2 linked regions of the Rhinolophus ferrumequinum genome follow. The protein of the gene in region 2 interacts with the protein of the main gene of each other region in a pairwise test. Links are inferred from orthologs where the notes say so. Each region holds a gene or a part of one and is shown on either strand. Other genes may lie near its edges.

The links. The genes of interacting proteins can lie anywhere in the genome.
Region 1: the proteins of RPIA (region 2) and PCMT1 interact in binary tests that used the Homo sapiens proteins (3 or more experiments, as listed by UniProt). The two-hybrid records come from large-scale screens. The link is inferred for Rhinolophus ferrumequinum from reciprocal best matches to the Homo sapiens genes RPIA and PCMT1.

Annotation. Positions count from the first base shown.
Region 1 is NC_046286.1:93,112,084-93,119,970, forward strand, and holds the start of PCMT1 (protein-L-isoaspartate(D-aspartate) O-methyltransferase), read left to right. Parts: upstream 1-4,838; 5' UTR 4,839-4,990; coding exon 4,991-5,219; intron 5,220-7,887. Other genes in the region: nucleoporin Nup43, read right to left, coding at 5-185, 1,180-1,257, 2,169-2,291, 2,637-2,756. UniProt on the Homo sapiens protein: Initiates the repair of damaged proteins by catalyzing methyl esterification of L-isoaspartyl and D-aspartyl residues produced by spontaneous isomerization and racemization of L-aspartyl and L-asparaginyl residues in aging peptides and proteins.
Region 2 is NC_046296.1:7,200,933-7,208,265, reverse strand, and holds the start of RPIA (ribose-5-phosphate isomerase), read right to left. Parts: upstream 3,071-7,333; 5' UTR 3,041-3,070; coding exon 2,756-3,040; intron 1-2,755. UniProt on the Homo sapiens protein: Catalyzes the reversible conversion of ribose-5-phosphate to ribulose 5-phosphate and participates in the first step of the non-oxidative branch of the pentose phosphate pathway.

The sequences.
Region 1 (7,887 bases), on a different chromosome or scaffold from region 2:
TTACCTATAGTTCTCACAGCTTCCTTGTGATCAACTCTGAAGAGATTGATTCGACCATCTTCTCCGACGGTGACAATGTCTGGATTGCTGCACACAACCCCCGTACATGGCGCACTGCTGCAGGAAGGACTGCCCAGACCGGTGTGGTGGTGAGCTGCTGTCCACTGCTGGCTGACGGACAGTGTCTAGGTGTCAGAAATGACAATATGATTAATCAAAGCAAAGCTCTAAAAACATAGCACTTTTTCCCAACTAAAGAGTATTTTAAAATTCCGTCTCATACCCTTCTAGCAAAAGGACAACTCTCTCCTTTTTCCTTTTTATTTCCAAGTATTAAAGCCTAGAAACTACTTCCATCAAAGCTCTGTATACACTGGATTAGATTCAAAAGACCATTGTTCAATAATAGGCCAATCTTATCTCAAACTAAAGAAACGGTTTTGAGGTATCAGGTAGTTGTGTGTTCAAAAGCAACTTTAAATTCTTAAGGGAATTAGCCTACATCTAAGAAATAAATCTCTATAATGCTTTCTAAAGGATTCCATTAATACTTAATAAGACCCGGGTCTTATATTTTCTAGACATGCCTATTAGCAACGTGACCTTTATTAATTCCAAAGTCTAAATAAGCACTCTCTTCTAGCAACTTAAAACTATTACAAGTGGGACTACCTATTTTAAAGGAATGCCCTCAACACTATGCTCTGAAGGTCAGTACTCTTAGGCTTCAGCACACAGGAAAGGCACTGAAAAAATGTCAAGTCTTCACACAGAGTATCCTCTCTTCTAATTAAAACCCAGGTTCTATCCACAGAAGCAAAGTAGCTGTTCCTGTTTTCTCTCATGATACCTTAACTAAAAGGTGCTCTTTCTTCAAAGACCAAAATGGGAACTTAAAACAGAATTACAGGAAAATTCCTTGCCAGAATACTAGATTGTTAAGTCTAGACTCTAGACTAACAGAATTTAAGAGATAACCAAATTCAATACAAGCACACACAAACACGGTTCTAAAATTAGTCTACTAAAAGTTGGGTAATATAACGATGTTTTTCCCCTCCATATTTTGAGACTATATAATTTTATTATTTGTGTCATTATTAAAAACAGTCTTTTTAAAGCCTTCCTAAAAATAATGAAAATACAAATTAATTAAGTTTTCAAACAAAATTTCTTTACCTGGTTATTTGGACGGTAAAGGAAAACTGTTACACATCCTGTTGATGAAGCAGCTACCATTCTTTCCTGGTCAAAAAACTAAACAGAAAATTCATGCTTGTTATGGATTGAGAAATACCAGTAAAGTGGAAGCCCATTTGTTTAACTTAATTAGTAGTAATAATAGTTTTAAAATGCAAAGAGCCTATAAATGCTAAGCAAATAAAATGTGATGACAGACCTGAAAGTAAAAATTCCAATACCAATATAAGTATTTTTGTGAAGGAAAAAAAATAACAATTTTTTTCCCTAAACTCATTCCCCTAAAACTGATTTAGTTAATTCTGGACCACTATCATAAAGGTTTAGAAAAGTAAGGTGAGGCAAGTTACTATTGAAGAAAACACAGTGACTCTGAAGTCACACATACCAGGATTTGAAAACTTAATTTCAGTCCCACCACTTACTATTGGCTTTGAGACTTTGGCCAAGTTAAATTGTTTTAAGTCTAGGTAAACCTTTAAAAGGAGAGAACTAATCCCTACTTAGGGAGTTGTGAGAATTCAAAGAGCAAAACACATGTAAAGTAACTCGAACAGTATTTGTCACACAGCACTTGCTCAAAAGATCTTAATCTCAGTTTTCTCATTGATAAAACAGAGATAACAATACTTGATTCACAAGCATGCAATGAGAATTATGTGAAGCTCCCCAAATAGTGCTTGGCATACAGTAGATGGTCAACTAAAAAAAAAAAAAACAAAAAAAACACAAAAAACAAACAAACAAAAAAACCCTAGGATTCAAAAACTAGGGTTAAACCCACATCGCCTTCCCCACTCCTGATTCTAACATTAAGTGGCTATATGATGTTCAAAAATCATAACCTATAGAGAACTCAGTTTCCTGTAGACCCAGGAAAATGTAAGGTCCTTTACATCTCTAAATGTATGAGTGTTTTTTAAAAGTTAGCTTTTGGATATTATACATCCAAAAAAGATGTTACTTACTTGTAAATCCATAACATCACCATGGTGTCTGGTACCGCACAGTAACTGATGGTCTCCTTCAAACCCTCCATCAGAGTCCAAGTTCCCAAAATCTCCAATAGACCACAGTGAAACATAATTTTCCTGTAAAGCAGCAAGTTTTACCTTGAGATGAAATATTACGTTAAACTTTCGGAAATTAACATTTGTATTGCCTACAGGCAACCTTGCTTTGAAAGCATCTCAGAATAGTGGTGACAGTGTGGTGATAGTTTAAAACACGAGATTCGAGGCTAAGGCACATACCATCGATGGCTGGGGTACAGGTCAACCGAGCCCGCGACAGGGACTCGGGGGATGGAGAAAAGTGAGAGGATGTAGAAGGCAAGAGAATTCGCGCGCAGGCGGCCGGGGGGTCGCAGGGGCTTCCCGGGCGGGGAACAAAGAGGGGGAGGAGACAGGGGCTTCCTGGCCCGGGAACGGAGATACCTCATTGTCCCAAGAGCCCGTAGCGAAGATCTCCGCGGTCTGCAGACTTCCCGGAGGTACCGGTCGCCAGCGGGTTTTGCTGATTTTCTGAGACACGTACTTAGCATAAAACTCCTCCATGCCGAAATTAACCGCGGCGGAGACAGCAAAAAGCACAGCGCGCGCCTCTTAGTCCCGCCCCCTCCCGCGGAGCTCTGATTGGACTGGACCTTACGGGACGGACGGTGGCTGCGGAGAGCCAATTCTCTGCGGTCGGCAATGAGGGGACCACCAGCTCCCAAGCAGAAGGAAGCTTTGACGCTCTTCCTTACCCACGCGTTTTTTAACAGAGGCAACAAGTGTGCTGGTCCTGGTACTGTGGGACCTGCTCCTAATCTTCAAAATCAGTTTAGGAACACTGACACAATGCATTCATCCAATAACTGTGCAATGTTAAAACAAATTTAAGAGAAACCACCAAGTAGCCGCACCTAAACATTCAGCTTTGCATTTCACTGTGCATAGATTATTCAAATCCTTAAATTCTCATGGAAGTGCACGCCATTAACACACCAACTTATTATTCTAAACCTCTCCCTCTGTCTCCCAAACAAATTCTTTGCTTCAAAGTTCTTAACGCACACTTGCAAAGCCTGGAGTTGGAATGCTGAAGACTCCAGTTCTAGTTTTCATGACCATTGCCCAACCTTCTTCAATTGACTTATATATGTATTAACAATTAAGTTTGATATGTAACATCGACAGCCCAGGAATCAGTGCTGTAGGTTCTTCCAGTGCTCTTGGTTACACCTGTAATAATACCCGTATAGTCTTCTTTACTTCTTGGGATCCTACCCATCTTTCAAGGACCAGTTCCTTCCTGTTATCTTTTCCTGATTATTCCAGCCCGTGATCTTAAATAAACATAGCACTTTAGACCCCTAATTTTGGCCACTAATAGCACTTAAGTTTTGTCCTCTGTTGCTAGTTTTATTTTGATGCTGATCTCCCCAATTAGAATGTAAATCCTATTGCATACATAAGAGGTGTGACTTATTCATCTTTCTAAAAATCTCCTTTATACTGTATTCATAATGATGTGTTGGTTGTCAGCTTTAGAGAGTTATCAGGTCTTATTGAGGATTGAGGCTTTTTTTAAATGGACTACAATAGGAAACTGCAGAGAGATGAAATGGAAAACTTAATCCCACACTGACAGTTTTATTCCTACTATTGAAGTAAAGAACACGGTTTTGAGTGTGGTTTCATTTATGGTCACAGAATTCCAGAAAATACGTAACATATTTTTTGTATTGGAAGTAGGCTGAGTATCACATTTGACATCTGGAAAGAACTAGAATTTGAAAATTGCTGCTGGCGCATAATGTTTTGACATAACTTTTTCTTCCTTAAAATTTTATTGGACTGGATGATTGGATTCTGTCAGTATCAGTTCTGATTAGGAGTCAGCAAGTTGAATGCGACAAGCAATGCTCCCTTTCAGCTGCTCAGTCTTGCAGAGATGACAGCAATAGTACTGATGTCCAGTTTAACGGTACCATTTGCGAGGTTTAATTTGCTGAAAGCTCACACTTGTGTTAGAGTAATACATTGGATATAGATAGAATACTGTGGTATTTTTAACCAATTGCATTGTTCTGGTGAGTAAAGCATTCCTCGCCCCCACATGTCATGTTATTCTTCTACTCTCTGAATTTGTACTTTAGAATTGAGAACAAACCAGGGGCTGCGAAGTCTCTCTAACCGAACACCGATGTAGTTGTCATAAAGCCAGAGGCTGCCGAACTCGGGTTAGAGAGGGCCTTTGCTCTCTGGTGCTATTAATATTATTCAGGCTGCACCAGAAAGCTCTGACTCTAACCGACCTAAATATTAGTCAACAGGGTTGGGTGAGGCAGGACGGAGGAAGCCCACCGTCTAATAATCTGGGCAGCTATAGGAGCAGACCCGCCGCTCGCAACAGCTGACCCAACGGAGACTGCGGAGCTACCGGCAGCGGCGGAACCAGATCGTCCAGACGCGACGTCACAGAAAGGCACCGCTATCCTGCAACCGCGCTCGGCGACCAGAGCCTCAGCCGGGCACGCGACCCACCGCAGCCGGGCCCACGCCGCCTGGCCGCAGGGCGAACCGAACAAGGAGGCGGTTTGCAGCCCGAGGCCTCATAAGGGGGCACGGAGCGGCGGGGGCGGCGGCGGCGGCGGCGCTAACTCTGCCTGGCCTCTCCGCCGGTCTCCGGCAGCCGCAGCAGCCACCAACGGGGGCGGCTGGACTCGGGGCCACCCCCGCCTCCGGCCCCACCCAGCCGCACCCGAGGCCGCCAGGCGTCACAGAGCGCATGCGTGCCGCGGGGGATGCCGGGAGCGCGCAGTGGCGGCAGCGGCGGCGACGGCAGTCACAGCGGCGGCAACAGCGGGGACGCCAGCGGGCCGGTGACCGTGTGGGAGGTGGTCTCACTCTTGGGGAAGCTGCTGGGCACCGTCGCCGCGCTGAAGGTGGTTCTGTACCTGCTCCGGGTGTGCTTAGCGATGGCCTGGAAATCCGGCGGCGCCAGCCACTCGGAGCTAATCCACAATCTCTGCAGTAAGTGCCACCCCCGCTGGGTGTGGGGCAACTGGGGCAGGCCAGGCCTGGACAGAGTCCCCCGGGCTGTCCGGAGCGTTCTCTCGCCCCTCCTCCCCCGTGTCTGCTGGAGGGCTTCGGCCCAGGGTTGCACCAGCAGTCCCGAACGGCATGCGCTTGCGATCGCGTCCCCCGGGACCTGTCACTCATTGGCTACGTGGACTGGAAGGGGAGAGAAAGAGCCCGCGGCCGCTGCTGGTGGGGCAGGGGCAGGCGTCTCCCCAGAGACCTGGGAGGAGAGGGCGCGGCACAGGTGGTGGGGCTGTCACTCGAGTCCTTCTCCTGGACGTCCGGGTCCGGCGGGCGAGGGGCGTGCACTCGGGGTGGGGAGATGTTGGCTAGGCCTCCTAGAGTCTGGTCTGGAACTGAGGGGTCCACCCTGGCCCCCCGCGTCTTCTCACCTCCGTCGTCTTCGTGATCGACCTCGCTGCGAGCGCTCTCTCCTATTCTGCCTCCCCCGCCCTCCGTTTTTTCCTCTGGAGGGAGATGCCACCGTCTGATACAGGCGAGGGGAGGGAGAGGAAGATGAGAGTATTGTCGTTGCGGATGCTGGGAGAAATTTCTGGGGCGGCTGTCCAGTGGAAAGCTTCGTGGGGGGCGGAGGAAGAAATAATCGGGATGCTGTTCCTGAGAGACTTGTGTTTAAGGAGCCTTTAGAGGTCCTGGAATCCAACGAACGAGTATGTGTGTGTGTGTGTGTGTGTGTGTGTGTGTGTGTGTGTGTGTGTGTCTAATCTAACTTTTTTCAGGACTGCCATATGCGTTAAAAGCCTTGCGTGGAAGTTTCTTTATATCCTTCTCTTGAGTTATTGTATTCCTTCCTCTGATGATAATTTTAGGGCGGGATGAGTGCTGTGTCACTTTCTTTTTTTAAATCGAAGTGTAGTGTCGCGGTGTGGTGGGGAAACCAGGATTGCAGCCCATAATACTCTGGTCAGAATTTATAGCACTCTCTTTGCCACTAACTGCAAATAAGCATACCTTGCCACGTGATATTTTTAATTGTCATAGGTTATTTAGCTTTTCATGTGTCTGTCATATTTCCTAATCCAATTGGTAACCTCTGGGACTTTTAAAAATTACCTGTGAATCCTCTCAAAGAAATTAATACTCATTCCTTTTTTTTTCCGTAAATGCCAATTAAATGTACGTTATATGCTTGGATCTGTGCTAGGAATATTCCGATGAGTTAGAGAAATAGCACTATCTGGCGCATGGTTAGTACTTAATATTAGTCATTTGACGTTTTTTAAAACAGTATTTGATACTTGGAAATCATGGCCTTAGTGTTTAGTAATGAAGAATATTTAGATTTTAAAATTCTGTCAAGCATTGCCAGTATTCACTTTATTGAAGGATATTTGATTGGAAATGGGCATTTATATGCTGAGACAGCATTATTAGGTGCCATTTAGGTTCCCCATGGATTGCACATAAGCTCAATACGTTGTAAGTACTTTTATAAAATTTCTTACAATGATCTAGTGTCTGCTGTTGCAGTATATACACCTGAAACATTCTACACTCGAATTGTGATTAGGTAATTTTCCACCGGTAGGTTATCTTAGTAGACACTTGGCTGTGGCAGAAGCTTGTAATCAATCAGGCTCTTAAAGTCTCTCCTTTTGGGGCCAAATTTATAGTAAGCCAAGACTAGATCTTTTCCCACTTTAACGTATTGCATTACTATTCTTAGCTGAAACTCCTAAGGATGTTGTTCTATCAGCGAATCTGATAAGAAATATTTAATGTGCATGTTGATATTGTAGATATTTAGTTTTATAGTAGATCTATGGTAAGAGGAAATTAGAGTACTCATATTGTTTAGCGTCTTTTGTAACCCTTTTGTAACTTTAGTTTCAACTTCTTGTTAAATTCATTCCAGCTAATAGGTGTCATTTTTATTTATTAGTTTATTATAAAAGTAATATTTGCTCATGTAAACATTTCAATTGGCACAAAATTTGAAAATTGCTCTTTTTCCTGGTGGTTCCACTGGAAGCTTTCCTGAAGGCTTCTAATTGAGTCTTTAGAAAAAGATTAAAATGTGATGATGTTGATGTTGAAGAAAAAAGGATCTGCAAACCTGAAGAGGAAGCAAATTATGGTTTTAATTTTTTTTTAAAGAAATGAAGTTCATAATTGGTTTCATTTTAATATTGTAATTGTTGAAAATATCTACTGTAGATTTCTTTTATAAATCACAATAGAAGCATGATTATGTATGATTTCGTAGTTGATATACCGTTTATAGATTATTTTAGACTATAATGGTACATCTCCTAATATCTCATAGCTTATGTTGTGATGACAACTGCTCTTTAATAACTTAAAACAGTGGTCTAAAAGTGGAGCATATTTGATCACCTGGAGAGCTGGTTGAAACTGATTAAGACAGATTGCTGAGGCTCCCAAGAATTTGTACAGTAGACCCTTGAACAACACGGGTTTGAACATCATGGGTCAATTTATAAATGGATTTTTTTCAATAAATATACAGGCAGCCCTTTGTATCCCTGATTGGTCTTCAGCAGATTCAACCAACCCGTGGTTGAAAACAGTATTTTTAATCAGCGGTTGGGAATCCGCGGATGCGGCATGCTGACTGAATGCATTGTTCTTTGCCATT
Region 2 (7,333 bases):
GAGGCCACCAGAGGACCACTGTGACAAGAACACGAGAGCATCAGAAGATGATAATGCACCACCTGGGAGGGCAACAGAGGGGACAAGATAAAAGCAACTACTCTCCTCTGGCCCTGGGAACAGCCTAAACTGGGAAAGTTGGTAGGTCAAAGGGAAGGGTCAGCTCTAAGAACATTCCAAAGACAGAAAAACAGGACCCAGCATATAACCTACCTCTACACACTTACACAAGTGAGTCAACAATTTCAAGTCACAAAGTGCTAGAGGAAAACATGGCCTTAGACGGGAAAAGGATACCCCTTGGAGAGGGCAGCTAAATAAGCCCTGACAATTAAGTACGTGAATATGCTCAATAAATGTGTGGGTTTGAATTAGTCATCCTGCTTACAAAATATCTATCGGACCTGTCTCTCCTCCCACTCCTCCCTTTGGCCACATTTCTGGCAACCACACCAACGGCCTGACACTGCTAGGCACTCAATAAATACCTGACCAACATATTATATGAATAAATCAATGCTAACGAGCAATAAATACAAACTTCAAATAGTGTTGGCATCTCAGGAAAGAAGTTTGGTAGGGAAAGTGGGTGCAACTGAGATTGAGGTGAGGTGCCCCAAAAGGCCAATAGAGATCTCCTTGGGATCACCTGGTAACTTCATGGAATAATGTGGCTGCAATCCAGTGTTTTGAGGCTCTAGCCTGAGGTGGGGGGCTTGCAGATTTTTATTTGACCAAATACATAATTATAAAACAAAAGTTAAGGATACATGTGCCACCAAATATTAATTTAACTAGGTATAGGGACGGAGTCCCAGAGAGTTTCCAGGCTCTCGACCTCACCTGGAAAGGTGCTGGCTTGGGTAGTAGATGGCCATCAGCTGTGACTAGTTAGCCATTAGCCACTAGTATAACTGCCGTGGCTAGGCTAGGGGACTGGTTAGTTGGCAGACAAACGGACTGCGGATTGCGGATGACACAGTTAGCAAGCATGGTTAGCAAGTGCGGACTGCGGCTAGCAAGTGGGGTTATTAGCAAGCGTGGATGGCGGGTTGTGGATCGTGTGGATCCTACTTCCTGTGTCTCAACCAGCCGCCATCGAGAATATAGTGGTATAACTCCCCTATCTATGGCTCCGTGGGTGCCGGGAGCAGGAGCTGAGACCCCGCATGACACTAGGTTAATAGGAAAACTAAGATATGAGGCTTTTCTAATTGTATCAATTTCATTTACCTGTCCATTAGCTAGCTACTCACTGTATCCAGGCACTTTGAAATTTCAGTGTCATGCAGGGTCTCTGGTCCCGCTCCCCACATAAGAACGCAGGATATGGCGAGGCCAAAAAGGACCACCCACAGAGCCATAGATAGGGGAGTCATACCACTATATTCTCCCTGGCAGCTGCCAACCAACCCACCCCTCACTAACTGCAATCCGCGCTTGCTAGCTCAGTCACAGCAGTTATATCAGTGGCCAACTAATAACCCAGCCAGCACCTTTCCACGTAAGGCCGAGAGCCGGGAAACTGCTCTGTCCCCAGATTCAGTTTACTGTCCCAATCTTGCAGTTGAGGCACTGAATCCCAAAAGCAGATCCGGATTACACATTTTACACACTTTCTGTGAATTCCCACAGAAAGTCTTATTGCTAAGCAGAAACTTATTGCTAAGTCTTATTGCTTATTGAAAGTCTCATTGCTAAGCAGACTTGGAACAAGCCAGAACAGGGCGGCTGTGCAACTGGTGGAAGGGCACTGTAACAGGAGTCACTCACTTCGGGTTCAATAGGATCCTTGGCCAGTCCTTCTTACAGAACATGCTGAAACAGTTTACCACATGGGCCCCTCACACTTAACCAGGCTGCTTGGGGAGCAAACATCATCTATCTATGCAAAATAACTTTACAAGCTAATGCATTATCAACTGAAAAAAAAACAAACTATCATGACAAAAAAGGAACTCTGATATCATTTTCTAAGAAGTAGAAAAGAAAGACAAAAAGCCAGTAAAGCCAAAGAAACTCCACCTAAGGGCAGAGATACTCTACTTGGCTCCCACACTGCTCTAATTAAGATAATTAAGTTGACAAACCCACTCAGGGGAAAAGACTCCACTAACAAACAGCATCACACCCACCGCTTAACAAACAAGTGGGGCCACGACCACACCGAGTAACAGCTAAACAACTCCGCACCTAAACCCTAAAAAACAGCATCCTCCAGACTTCAGGTATCCACCCGACCCCGTCGAAGGGAGGTTTAAAGCTGCAGTCTTTCCCCTTCCCTCTGGCGAGCACACTCAGAGGTGTTAGCGCAAGCTAAAACGGCCTTGGAGTGAAATTTCAATGCTATTTTCAGACAGCTCTCCACCGGCTTCCCAGGAAAGTGAAGACAAGACCTCTCAGCCGCCCCAGCAGGCGTCGGTTTCCATTTGTTGATAAGGAAACCTCACGGCAAGTCCCTTCCATTCCCACTCAGCATCAGACAACACCAGGCTCCACGGTGCAAACTATTATCCGGCCAGACAAGGAGTCTTTAGAAAGCTCAACTTAGGGGACTCGCCTCCAATCGATCCCGCATCTAACTGGCCTTTAAGGAGCCGGAAACAAGGGGTCTAACCCGGGTCAAGTGCGCACTCTCTCCCCTCTCACGCAGCCCACGTCCTTCCAGGAACCGGGCGAACGCCGGCAGTGCCCAGAGCGCGCGACACGAACCCATCACGCCGAGTACAGGCGCCCACGCCCCTGAACTGCTCACCCTCACGTGGTTCTTCACTGCTAAGTGGCCCGCCAGCTTCTTGGCCTCCTCGGCCTTGGACATCGTGGAGGGGTCCAGGAACACGCTGTTGGCTTTCCGGCTGCTGGTGTTTGTTCGGCCAGCACCGCCGCTAGTCCCGGACTGGGCGCACCCAGGCGGCTGCACGTGGGAGCCTGGGACGCCCCAACTGTTCCCGCCTCTGCCAGAGGCCGCGCCCCCGGCCCGCCCGGGCAGTGGGGCCAGGACCCGCCCGTAGAGGGTGCTGAAGGGCCCAGGACGCTGCATCCCGACGCCTGACTCCAGCCTCTGCCACAGTCCCGCCCCCGGTTCTTCCGGAAGTCTAATCGTTTATGCACAAGACCTGCGCCGGCGCGGGCCTTACTGGGAAATGTAGTTCTTTGGCTTCGGTAGCCCGAAGCTGCGCCCCTGTCTGGACTATCAGCCCCACAATGCTCTGCGACCTGTACGCAAAACGCGGGCGACGGGCTTTGGCGCTTAGACCAGTATGGCGGGAGTAACGGAAGGTTAGGTGAATCTTAGAGATTTTTCTATCTGCCCATGCTTCGGAGGAGAGGGTGTTAGACCTGACCATATTGTTTTTCCCAGCAATAAGAATGTGGCAATGGGCGAGACCTCAGGGCAGTCGCTCTTTTGGAGACGTCCTTTTCGGAGTGACTTCTCTAAACTCACTCCCTTGGCAAACGCATGTGGCATCCCTGCGCCTGCTGAAGTCTGTCCTAGACCTGGGAAGGCCCAGGACTACAAGTTTAGAACCGGCAGCACTAGACGTGGTCCTGCACTTTGCGATATTGGATGGTGTGCGTCGTCCAAATCAATCCTGGTCCCTCAGAGACCCCACAATCCTAGTTGACTTACAAGCACTTTGACTGAACTTAAAAGTTTTCTCTACCTGTAAGGTGTATTGCTGTAGGGAATAGTACAGACTGGACAATTTTTATTGTCTCTTTATTACAAGAGAGGAGGCCAATGCTGACCCCAGCTGTACCTACTGTGGGGACAGAGCCAGGAGTGCAGTTTCCAGGCTCTCGACCTCACGTGGAAAGGTGCTGGCTCAGGTAGTAAATGGCCATCAACTGTGATTGGATGGCCATCAGCTGTGGCTAGTTGGCCGTCAGCTGTAACCAGTGAGCCATTGGCCACTAATATAACTGCTGTGGCTAAGCTAGCAGAGAAAATGGGGGCTAGCAAGAAGAGGGTGGCAGGCAAGCGTGGACTGCAGTTAGCACAGCGGAGTGCGGGTTGCAGATTGCAGAGAAGTGGACAGTGGTTGCAGATAGTGTGGCTCCTGCTTCCTGTGTCTCCAACCCAGCCTCCAGTATGACTCCCCTCTTTATGGCTCCGTGGGTGTTCCTTTTTGGCCTCACCATATCCTGCATTCTTATGTGGGGAGCGGGAGCTGAGACCCCCCCGCATGACACCCTGCATGACACATGGCACAGCGAGCAGGGTCTCCCGCAGGCCGCCCCACACGACACCTACTACTTGGAGGTCCTTAAAAAGCAGGTAGCTTTTGTGCTTCTTGCCCATGTTGGTGGAATCCCATCTGCCCACAAACTCATCTTCAGATTCTGGACCTTCTCCCTCTTGGGTGTGTGCAAAGCACCAGTATGGTCCACTGTTAAATCACTCTCTCACATTCTCTTTGCTGTGCCCACTGAGGCTGTCAGCCCTGGGACCTCCACCTTAGTCTAAGGAGGAAAAGTTATTTGAGGGGATGTTTGAATCCTAAGTTTTAGGCAGAATTTTAAATCTGGCTAAGATGCAGGACAAAATACAGAGGATGCCAAAAAAAGATGAATATACAAGTCACATTTGACTTCTGCAATTATAAGAGGTGCTCAGAGTGGTTACCATCAGTGTCCAGACACTTCTGATTAAGGCGAACTGCTTGAGCAACGTTGACCAAAGTGTCCACTTGTACACACTTTTTTGGCACCCCTAGTATTTTTGGCACCACACACACACACACACACACACACACACACACGCTGTTGGTCTCTGCAGGGTTGAGGGCCACGTGAATCAAACTTGTGACATTTTCTGCCTCCCGTTAGGGGCAATCTTTCCCCCATTGAGGCTCTTCACTCACTAACCAAAGGTTGGAGCAATTGGTAGTAGCCAATCTGCTTTACCGCTCCAGCCTGCGGACATTTGCATCTGGTTTCCCACCACATTAAATGCTCCGACTGACCATCTGCCTGTCTCTGCACTGCCAACTCCATCTTACCCTTCACTCAGCTCAAATGCCACCTCCTCAGAGTCTTCCTGATCCTTATCTAAATTGAGTTCCCACCCATCCATCCTCTATCACTTTACCCATTGTTTATTCCCACCATAGAAGTTTCCTCAATCGTTTATTTGTTTATTTAGTTTTGTACTTGTTTACCATCTATCCTCCAGGAAATAATATTTCTGAGAAGAGGGGCTTTGCTTTTTCCCTACAGCATCCTCCATGTGTCAGTCATATAGATGGTCCACCACAAATACCTAAAGCTGATTGGATAACAGATTTTGTGCCTCAACCCCACACTCCTACTTCAGCTATACAATTTCAGTCTCGCTGGGCATGTCTTACCTCCATATCTTTGCACAAACTGTACCCCTCTAACTCTCAGATGTTCTTAAGGACTCCACTCTGTTACCTGTTACTCTGAACCCCACTCCTAGCTGGTTTTGTAAAGGTGACCTTATCCTTCTATTTTGAGATTTTAAACCTCTGATGTAATTCAATTTGACAGTGGTTTGGCTAAGGACTTTTTGAAAGTCTTTTCTTTGCTTCTTTTCCCTCCAGTCAAATTTTGATGATTCTGTTTACTTTGCATTTACTATCACACCCACCAGTTTCAATGGTTCTGTTTACTTTGGGGCTGCGGAGAGGTTTTTGCATTTATATGGGATCTTCTCCTGACCCTGAGGCATGTTGGCCTTTGGGAAGTGTTTTTCCTGGAGTAGCTGGGCCAACTTCTCCTTTTTCTTTGTTCTGCCTCTCCTTGCATGCCTATAAAACCTTTTGGCGGTATTAGGAGCGGGAAGGCAGACTTTGTGACAAGGAGTCCACTGTCTTCCCTTAATGCTGTCATTTTGGAATAAACCTGCTTTTCTTTCCACCAACCTTGCCGCTGAAGTTTTGGCTTTCATGCGGCGAGCAGCTGGACCTTTGGCACAGTAACAGGTTGACTGCTCCTCTGTGCTTCCAATCACCGGTAGCCTTTCTTTTCTTTATTGGATACACAGCACCTAACTCAATATTTGGGGAGTGAGCAATGTTCTATAAAATTCTACCTGCCTGTGCCTCTGTTTTTCCTTCTCTCCATCTTGTGATCATTTCTCATTCCCGCCCCACTTAACCCTTCTCCTCAGGTCTGCCAATGAATGATGCCGAGTGACTCTCCTGGAATTCTGAAATCCCACTGGCAACTCTTGAGGCTGAAGACTATGCTGATCCTTGGAACGGTATGAGCAGCACGTCCCTATGACAGTTTTTACTTGTATATTGGGTGAGAACAGTGCCAGGCACTATGCTAAATGCTTTGCTGGTGTCATCACATTTAATCCTAGCAACTCCAAGACCTGGGTACTATCATCCCCATTGTACAAAGGAGGCGTGAAGAAGTCCTGTCTTACCCAAGGTCACACTGCTCATAAGTGAAGCTGGGATGCAAACTTGCAGTGATTCTAGGACCAAACTTTGATTTGATAGAATCACTCATATGGAGATTTATTAATCTCCCCAACACCACCACCAATAAAGCCCTGAACTTTGTATAAACCACACAAGTAATCTTTTCTCTTTAAAATCACAAGTAATAACAATAAACCTAGAGACAAAATGGTTAATAAGGATGGGGGGAGGGAAGGCAGAAAAAAAAAAAACTTTAAATGAGGAAGCACTAAAAGGGAAGTATAGTTTTTGGATGCTGGATTACTTTCAGGGGCTCACAAAGGTGAGATCAATCTGCTTTATAATCCTAACCTGACAAAAATTCTAATTTTTTTTCTAGATTCCTCAAACTGGGAAGAATCACATGGGGGTCATTTTTCCCTCTTTCATGGAACCTGAAATCCTTGGAAAAGAGATTTCAGGGCCAGAATGAAGGATCACAGGGCAGAGCCCACCATCCTGCACTGTTAGTGGTGGTGGTATTTGTTGCATGTATCTCTCCACTTTACTTTTTATCCAATCTCAGAGACTTCCCCACTTTGCTTCCCGCCTCCCTAATATACTACCAATGGATTTCATGACCCCCCTCTGTCTCCTCCTTTGATTCTGATGTATAAAATAAGCTGTAAAACTGACCTTCTCTGTAGCATTTTCTCAATCCATTGAGATTTTGCTTCCCAGCAACTGTCAGTTTGGCTCAGATAAACTCTTATGAGACTTTTTCTTAGGCTGGATGTTCTTTTGTCAACAACTACAATAAAGTTAATTTTTAAAAAGTGATTCGTTACAGTGCCCCCTGCAACTAAGATTGAACACGGCACCTTGAGCTGAGCTGCTGCTGAGCTCCCAGATGGCTCAGTTGGTTGGAGCGCATCCTCCTCAACCACAAGGTTGCT